Linked DNA regions of Drosophila melanogaster. The protein of the gene in region 1 interacts with the protein of each later gene in a biochemical or structural test. Each region holds a gene or a part of one and is shown on either strand. Other genes may lie near its edges.

Region 1 (4,612 bases):
TTGCTTTTTAGGTCCCAACATGACTGCAGCGCCATACAACTACAACTATATCTTTAAATACATCATCATTGGTGACATGGGCGTGGGCAAGTCCTGCCTGCTCCACCAGTTCACCGAGAAGAAATGTGAGTAGACTGTGCTGAGTAATAATGTATGTAATAAGAACTAATCTCTACTTGCCGTCCTGCAGTCATGGCCAATTGTCCTCACACCATTGGCGTGGAGTTCGGCACACGCATCATTGAGGTGGACGACAAAAAGATCAAGCTACAGATCTGGGACACAGCGGGTCAGGAGCGATTCAGGGCAGTGACACGCTCCTATTACCGTGGAGCAGCTGGTGCGCTGATGGTCTACGATATTACCAGGCGGTAAGCGAAGCAAGCTACTATTTGAGAAATTGCTTTACAACTTGACCATTCCAGCTCCACGTACAATCACCTGAGCAGCTGGCTTACCGACACTCGCAATCTCACCAATCCCAGCACTGTGATCTTTCTCATTGGCAACAAATCGGATCTGGAGAGCACTCGGGAGGTTACCTACGAGGAGGCCAAGGAGTTTGCCGACGAGAACGGCCTAATGTTTCTCGAAGCGAGCGCTATGACGTGAGTTTCAACTGGAAGCATAGTGTTTGAGCATATACTGATTATCTTTTTTTTTATCGCCCAAACAGTGGCCAGAATGTGGAGGAGGCTTTTCTGGAGACCGCACGCAAGATTTACCAGAACATCCAGGAGGGTCGGCTCGATCTGAACGCCTCCGAGTCCGGAGTTCAGCACAGGCCATCGCAGCCGTCGCGAACTTCGCTGAGTAGCGAGGCTACGGGCGCCAAGGATCAGTGCTCGTGCTAAATGAATGATGGAACCTAACTTTACGCAAAACCTAGTTATACAAATCAACTTTTATTTTTAGCCGACTCGTAATCTACCGATGCCCAAGCAAAAACCAATGTATGTAGTTAAATAATTCGATTAAGCATCAATGTGTGAGCCAACAACAGCGACAGCAACCACAAAAAAAAAAAAAAACAGAAAAAGAAAATATAAAGTCCTTTCGCTTAATAAGACGCAAGCATTGCAACATTTATTGTATCGGTTAAGCATAAATACTAGAAAATTAAACATGTTTGTTGGCGCAAACTAAAGTTTTGACCATGAAATTTCGAAAAGTTTATCGCACTAACACCATCCTTCGGTCTCAATTTATAGATGAATTCGTTTGAGATATAGATCATGTTTTTGTTGGCTGATGAATCCCTGTATATAATATATATATGTATGAATTTTTGTATCTCCCTAATTTTTTGTTGAGTATTTGTTGTTGTCGCGTGCAAGAATTGGAGGAAACGATCAATGTTATATGAATATTTACGATGTATTAATGGCATAATGCAATAGGAAATAAATAAAATGGTATTTATAAAACCCCTACCAATAGAAATGAATTTCTCTTTCAAATAATTTAAATTTTAATTTGCATATTTAACCATTCGTTTATATTTAATTCTACACCAAATCGCTGGATAATTTTATAATTTACCGGATTTCCATTTAATAGATTTAAATTTTATAAATATTTGGGTACTTACGATTTACTTAAATATTTTGTAAAAAGCTTTTTTAATCCATTTAGTGGAATACCCTCAACTTTGACTTGCGCATAACTTCATTCTTGTTTTATTTAGTGATGCTAACGTTGGGTTGGAAATCAGCTGATTATGACTATGAACAATAAAGTTTGTAAGTCAAACAACGATTTTTCGTATACTGTTCTTTTGTTTGTTGCTGGTTGTCTAATTAATCATTTTAACTGGTTATCAGTCCAATTTTTGTTTTCTACACTACACTATTCTACACTATTTTCGATTTCCTTGAAATTTAGCGGGAAAAACTCTGAGCTAGCATCTTCGGTGGCATCGCTGTGTGCGCGCTTTTGTGCGAATGCCATGGTATGCAAATTAAATTTAATTTATTCCGATCATCATGAAAGTGACAAAGTAGCTGCTTAAGTAGCCAGGGAAGCGCACAACGTAATCTAATCTCGATCCATGATGCAAATCAAGCGCCTCCTGTGCAAATCCTGCGGCCTGGGCACCCTTCTGGTGGCGGTCGTCTGGCTGCTGGCGCTGCTTTTCTACTCGCACAGCCTGCGCAGCTCCATCCGCTCGGCAGGATGGAGGATCGACGAAGGGAACGCAACGCCACGGGCCGAGCTGAGCTACCAGGCCAGGGTCACCGTCGGATGCACTCCAAATGCCAGCATTACCACTGGCGAATCGCCGGCGGCACCCAAGCCGCCCAGTGATCCGGAGCAATTGGAACTGTTGGGTGTGGTGCGCAACAAGCAGGACAAGTACATACGCGACATTGGCTACAAGCATCACGCCTTCAACGCGCTGGTGTCCAATAACATAGGACTCTTCCGGGCGATCCCAGACACTCGGCACAAGGTGTGCGATCGCCAGGAGACCACGGAAGCGGAAAATCTGCCCCAGGCCTCCATAGTCATGTGCTTCTACAACGAGCACAAGATGACGCTGATGCGCTCGATTAAGACCGTGCTGGAACGCACGCCCAGCTACCTGCTGCGCGAGATTATTCTGGTGGATGATCACAGCGATCTTCCAGAATTGGAATTCCATTTGCACGGGGATCTGCGTGCCCGCCTGAAGTACGACAACCTGCGGTACATCAAAAACGAGCAGCGCGAGGGTCTCATTCGTTCCCGGGTCATTGGTGCACGCGAGGCCGTGGGCGATGTGCTCGTCTTCCTCGACTCGCATATCGAGGTCAATCAGCAGTGGCTGGAGCCGCTGCTGCGCCTCATCAAGTCGGAGAACGCCACTCTGGCCGTGCCCGTCATCGACCTGATCAACGCTGATACCTTTGAGTACACGCCCAGTCCACTGGTGCGCGGAGGATTCAACTGGGGCCTGCACTTCCGCTGGGAGAATCTGCCCGAGGGCACGCTCAAGGTGCCGGAGGATTTTCGCGGACCCTTCCGTTCGCCCACCATGGCCGGCGGATTGTTTGCCGTGAACAGGAAGTACTTCCAGCATCTGGGCGAGTACGACATGGCCATGGATATATGGGGTGGCGAGAATATAGAGATCTCCTTCAGAGCCTGGCAATGCGGTGGCGCCATTAAGATCGTTCCCTGCTCCCGTGTCGGTCACATATTCCGCAAACGACGTCCGTACACTTCGCCAGATGGAGCCAACACCATGTTGAAGAACTCACTGCGTTTGGCGCACGTCTGGATGGATCAGTACAAGGATTACTATCTCAAGCACGAAAAGGTGCCCAAGACCTATGATTATGGAGACATTAGCGATCGCCTCAAGCTTAGGGAGCGTCTGCAGTGCAGGGACTTTGCCTGGTATCTAAAGAATGTCTATCCAGAGCTGCATGTGCCGGGCGAGGAGTCCAAGAAGTCGGCGGCAGCGCCCATCTTTCAGCCTTGGCACTCGCGAAAACGTAACTATGTCGACACATTCCAGCTGCGACTGACGGGAACGGAGCTCTGTGCCGCCGTGGTGGCTCCCAAGGTGAAGGGTTTCTGGAAGAAGGGCAGCTCCCTGCAATTGCAAACCTGCCGAAGGACACCCAATCAACTGTGGTACGAAACGGAGAAGGCGGAAATTGTGCTGGACAAGTTGCTGTGCCTGGAGGCATCCGGGGATGCGCAGGTCACGGTCAACAAGTGCCACGAGATGCTCGGCGATCAGCAGTGGCGGCACACCCGCAACGCCAACAGTCCCGTCTACAACATGGCCAAAGGCACCTGCCTCCGGGCAGCTGCTCCCACGACGGGCGCCCTCATCAGTCTGGATCTGTGCTCCAAGTCCAACGGAGCGGGCGGCTCCTGGGACATTGTGCAGCTGAAGAAGCCAACGGAGGCGGAGGGCAGGGCCAAGGAGGCGAGGAACTCGGACAAGGCGCTGTGAGCGATTCGCTCGGATCGAATAATTCCGATTGCAATATTAGACTGATAACTGTTTAGGGCAAAGTGTATTATGTTTAAATAGCCAGTATTTTTTCATCAAACTTTTTTTTTTTAATAAATATGATCAAAATGTTGATGGTGCAGTTTGATTAATGGCCAATGGTGGTGGCCTTGGAAACAGGTTTTCTTTCAAATAATTTGCAAATTAATGTGTACGAATATGTTATGTCTGCATATTTAATGATTTTGTGATGACTTATCAAAATTTAACTTAATTGTGAAAATAAATGTATGTATGTACCTACAATTTACCTTATAAATATGCTTCGTATTCGTAATACGAATATCTTATATCTGCATATTTAATGATTTTGTAATGACTTATCAAAGTTCAACTTTGAATAATGGAAATTTTTGGACCTTTACCACTACAATTTTACTTATGAATATATTTAGATAGTTAAATTCTTGCAATATAACACCTTTTTTCCATTTGCTGCAATTTCAAAACACAATTTTCAATACCGACTATCTGGTGGTAATAGAAAAACCACGTTTTTTTTTATGTATATGTGTTATGTATATATTTATAAAGAATAAAAACTTTGTTAACTATAAAATAAACCTAAGCTCGAAATTGTACCGATAAAAAAAAAATTAATTT
Region 2 (5,058 bases), on another chromosome or scaffold:
TTGAAATTCGCTGTTCTTTGGGGAATCGTAGATGCTGCTTATAATAGTTACAAGCTAGTATAATTAAAAAAAAGGTATAAAAAGGTAGACACAGCCAATGAATTAAGCCATTTTTGAGTTATTTTTGAATGTTAACCCAAATGGTTCAACTTCAAAAAACTGCAAAGGTTTAATCCATTGCCCCTTAATTAAATATATGCACAACAAGCCAAGAATGTTTGTTCCTGTACGAAGACTCAGATCGAAACCTACGACAACTAGCCAAATCAGAAGTCACATTCCCCCTCGGAATCCACATCCTCCTGATAATATTCAATGTGTCAAGTGCAGGCGAGCAACGCTTCTCTCCCTTTCTTGAATGATGCTCAAACATTTTTGCATACAACAGGAAATTGATTTTTCATCGACAGCAAAGAAAATCGGGAAAGCAAGACTCCATATCCTATGCAAATACTTTCAGACTACAAAAAAATTTGCGTCACGCGGCGTTGCCACATTGCGAGACTCGGAAAAGAAATGACAATTTCTCCGGCATCTCTTCTTCTTCCCCGCCGTATCCTTCTCGTGCTGGGAAAGCTGTCAAAAAAGCTTCAGCAACAACTTCCGCTACATGGCAGAGAATTGCCTGCACGACGGGCTAGGGGGCGGTCGGTGGAGGCGGCAGGATGAGACCTGCGTTCAAAAGTTAAGCCATTAGCGAAATGTCCTTTACTTTGCTTATAACGCAATTTTCTGCTTCTTTTCTCGGCCATGGCCCCCTCATCACCTACCCACCCCACGCTGGCCACCATTGTTTGTTTCGGACACTTTTTGGCCAGGTCCGCTCGGTTCTGGCTTGGGTGCTGAATGACAACTTCACTTGTCAGCGATTTGAAACTTTTTCGCCTCCCCTCGCCGCCACTGACTAACTTTTCTAGCGCTAATGAAGTCTGAGGATATTTTTTGGCTGCGTGAAAATGCTCCACAGAATCTGACAGCATAATTAGTAAATGAAAAACTGTTTTGTGTAATTCCCAGGCCACAGGAGGTTCAGATACCTTGAAATACAAATTCCATTGTTTTTAAAAATGTAGTTTTTAATATTTTTGTGTAACCTGCAATTTATTCAATGCAAGCTGAAAGTTAAAAGTTTTCGGAGGTTTTGGAAAACCTAGATATTTTAGGGCAATATATAAAGAGAATATATAATATATATATAATAATAAATAATATATATTATATAATATATAATATATATAATAAAGAATAAACTAAGCTATCTTTTAAAGTTTGTACCTAATAACTTAAATACCTCCACATTTACATTGATATTTTATGGTATATGGTATATGGTATACGTATACGCACTTTTATGTAAACCGGTTAACAGTTTTGTAATAAAATTAACAGTGTCGGTGTTAGCCGCCGGTGAAGCTGTTATTACAGCGCTGTTGGCCGCCTCAGATAATCTTAACGAAACTGGCGTGCAGCACGATAGATTCGAATCCGCTGTACATCCATTTCCCCTTAGCCAAACGAAACGCACTTTTTAACCTTCAAACCAGAGATTCGATGAGTGCTCTCATTTGAGTGCTGCATACTCTTCTGGTTATAAAAAGGCTAAACATACCATTGAGAACAAATATTGATGGTAACTTAACAGAAGCACAAGAGTATTAAAAGTATATTATTATATTTCCTTGCATATCTTTTTCTATAACGCTGTCATAGACTGGAAATCTATATGATTCGGAGTGATTCTTTTGCAATTAAATTAACCTAAACTACATAAGTAGCACCTATTATTCTAGCAAAATAGCTATATTTCCAGCTAAGGCCAGACTATCAGCAAATTAGCTAAATGGACAACGCTGGTGCGCGACCGCTCTCTCTCTCACAAATCATGCGCAGTATCAGAATAAATGAGAGAGCGACGCATTTTAACTGAAAAAGAGAGAATATGAAGCATATTGTTTTTCTCTCATATTTGCAGCGACTTGCGCTCTCTAGCTCTCTCTCTCTCTCCCACAGACTCGGTTCGTCGTTCGTTTTGAGCTCATTCGTCTTTTGAAATTCGCCTCGCACGGTCGGAATTGTCGTCGCGGAAAATGTGGATATACGAAAAGTAGCGAAAACAGCGCGTTGCTTCAGTCGAAAAATATAGAAAATCGTCGGGAATCAGGCAGCGAATGATACCTGCGTCTAACGAATTCTGACATAGTTTTACGATCGTCGCGCAAACAAACACACCGCGTCAATTCAAAAACACCGTTTTTCCCGTCGCGTTCCTGTGCTCCCCATCGTGTGTGTCCCGTGTTTTCAGTGTACGACTACTGAAAAGGCCCAAGAAATATTATTGCGGCCTCGGCGGCAGATTGTGATTGAGCTGGGACCAGCAGCCCGCCCGCAGATTAACCGTCTGGAAATGGCCCAGTAGAAATGTTTTTGAGTGCAGTGCGTCCAGTGCCATCCGCAGCCGCATCCGCATCAGCAAGTGCATGAATAATCGCGAGTAGCCAAACGCATACCAAGTCTCTTCTTCCTGCTCCCGTGCGGAGTCCTCCTCCTCTTCTTCTTCTCCTGTCCGGCTGTCTGGCCAAAAGCCCCCAAGCCGCCAAGATTAAGTTCTCAAAGCAGCACGCCCATCACGCGTACCGCCACACGGACAACATCTACGACGGCGGCACGGACACGGACGACGACGAATGTCCGCTGGAGGCGACCGCCATGAATCCCTACGAGTATGAGTCGACTCTAGACTGCCGCGACGTGGGCGGCGGCCCCACTCCGGCTCACGCCCACCCACACGCCCAAGGACGTACGCTCCCCATGAGCGGCCACGGGCGGCCGACGACGGACCTCGGTCCGGTCCACGGCAGCCAGACGCTCCAGCACCAAAACCAACAGAACCTGCAGGCCGCCCAAGCCGCCGCCCAGTCGTCCCACTACGACTACGAGTACCAGCACTTGGCCCACCGTCCGCCGGACACGGCCAACAACACAGCGCAGCGGACACACGGAAGACAAGGTGAGTGAGTATGCCGACCCCAGTGGGCAGTGTGGTCAGTGGAATCAAACCGAAAGCTACAACTCCGGAATTTAGTGGCCCAAATAGAGCGTCTGGAAGTGATTTAAAAAAGTTTAGGATGTGCGGAAATACTTTACAATGCATAAATTGGATTAAATGAATTTGTAACTTAAATTATGTTTGGAAATCAGTGAAAAATATAAAAGCGTTTCTGATAAGAGTACCATGCTGCTTAAACATACTGAGATCCGTTTTCCATCGCTTTCGTATACATCACCGAATTCTTTGACAGACGTGCCTAAATCAAATGAGCTAATTGATATCAATATTTTAAGAAAATGGAGAACATTTGGTTATTAGCTACGTACGTTGAGAGAGGATAGACTGGTTCTAAAACCATTCATTGCTACTTGGCATTTGTGTATTTTTAGTATTAGTCAAAAAGTTAAAAGCAAATTATGTATGTGCAAAAGGATTCCAATGTTTCTCAAACGCAATTCAAGTGAGCTACCGTGTCATCTGCTAGTTACAGAAATTATTCCTTTTTTCGGTGACAAAATCGTGCGGGTTGCGAATTCCAGCAAGTTGCGACAAGTTTGAACAAATTACGCCCCTTATCGGCGAATGCGGCCAAACATTTTGCCTAAATTAAACAAATTAAGGCGGCAGTCCCAATGGGAGTGGGATTTGGACTTCGCCTGACATTGAGCCCGCTCTTGTTTCGCATTTCATAATTTCCCTTTTTCCGACTGAGCGCGTTTTTTCACGATTTGTCTGATTAATAAAGCGAGAGCCACAATAGCCAGCGCACAAAGCGCAGTTGAAAAGGATACTCTCTGTCAGCCGACAGGAATTAGGGGGAATCCCAGACGATGTCCCCGCTCTGTGAAAAAATGCCTGCGGCTGGAAAATGCTCGAGACTTCTGAGAGGAGTTGGGTTACAGTAGCCTGCCTGATTGTACACTGACAGAAATCAGGGCACTAAGTTATGTTGATATAGATTTTGAATGAAAATCGTAGTTACTTGGATACCCTCTTAATATGAGAACAGAATTTTAGATTCTTTACTTTTAACTATTGTTTTGATGACAATAGTTCACGTATTTAACTCTAGATTATGTTAGTTCGCTGCTATTATCGATTTCAGCCAGCCTCCTCGTAGCGTCTTCATGGCCACTCCCAGACCTATCCAATATTTTCGATCCCTGGACCTCGACCACGAGCAACCTAAACACAAATACATGCTCCGACATGCTTCAGTTTTATTATTTCCGACTCTGCTTCTTGGCATTTGAACTTACACATAATGCGGACTTACATAACTTTATTTCTGGCATTTCCCTTTTGAGCTCCGGTGCCCATTTTCCGCTCCTCATCTTCTTCATCCTCATCGAAGCCATCCCACCGCAGCCGCGCTTGCTCTTCTCCTGCCTTTCAGCGTTTTTGTGGTGTTATAAAAACAATTGCCAAACAATTGGAGCTTTGAAACGAAATAAAAATCAAATGGAAATCGAACCTGGAGCACACGAACGTGTGGGTGTTTGGGTTGGGCTACCTGGCAGCGGCGAAAGAATTGTAAATTTACAGCAACAAATAAATTTCGTAACTGGCAAACAATAAATTCCTGAGACCCGAAGACTTTTGCAGAATTTCTTTTCAGCTTTGGCGCAAGAAATGAAATTGAATAAAGTGGGCCAGGGGGGTGCGATTGGGGCGGGGCGGAGCTCGTAAATTTTCAACACTTCACCAGGCAGCAGCTTTTCCCGCCTTCCTGCTCCCCAGTGCCTGTCATAAAATTGCCAAAAAGCCAAAACAGGAAAGACGGAGAAGCAGCGGAAAATTCTTTGCCTCCCCCACTTTGAAGCTGTGTTGATGTGTGAAAATCCGCTCGAAGCTGAAGCACCGAAATTTCAATGTCTCAATGCTTTATTTGTCGGCCTGCCAATTAGCCAAATTAGGTCGAAAAAATCGGCCACTTTGCATTATTAAAAGCCAACCGCAGCCAGGTTCGAGTCCAACTCCAGATGGCCTCCAAATCCAATCACAAGCCC

What was found.
Region 2: of the proteins of Pgant35A (region 1) and Ten-m, one has a biochemical effect on the other in vitro, tested with the Drosophila melanogaster proteins (one study listed by BioGRID).

What each region holds. Positions count from the first base shown.
Region 1 is NT_033779.5:14,357,330-14,361,941, forward strand, and holds Pgant35A (polypeptide N-acetylgalactosaminyltransferase 35A), read left to right. Parts: upstream 1-1,922; 5' UTR 1,923-2,050; coding exon 2,051-3,949; 3' UTR 3,950-4,082; downstream 4,083-4,612. Other genes in the region: Rab14, read left to right, coding at 12-125, 191-371, 426-608, 677-854. UniProt on the Drosophila melanogaster protein: Polypeptide N-acetylgalactosaminyltransferases catalyze the transfer of an N-acetyl-D-galactosamine residue to a serine or threonine residue on the protein receptor. Displays the same enzyme activity toward MUC1, MUC4, and EA2.
Region 2 is NT_037436.4:22,404,841-22,409,898, reverse strand, and holds the start of Ten-m (tenascin major), read left to right. Parts: upstream 1-2,035; 5' UTR 2,036-2,706; coding exon 2,707-3,007; intron 3,008-5,058. UniProt on the Drosophila melanogaster protein: Involved in neural development, regulating the establishment of proper connectivity within the nervous system. Acts as a homophilic and heterophilic synaptic cell adhesion molecule that drives synapse assembly.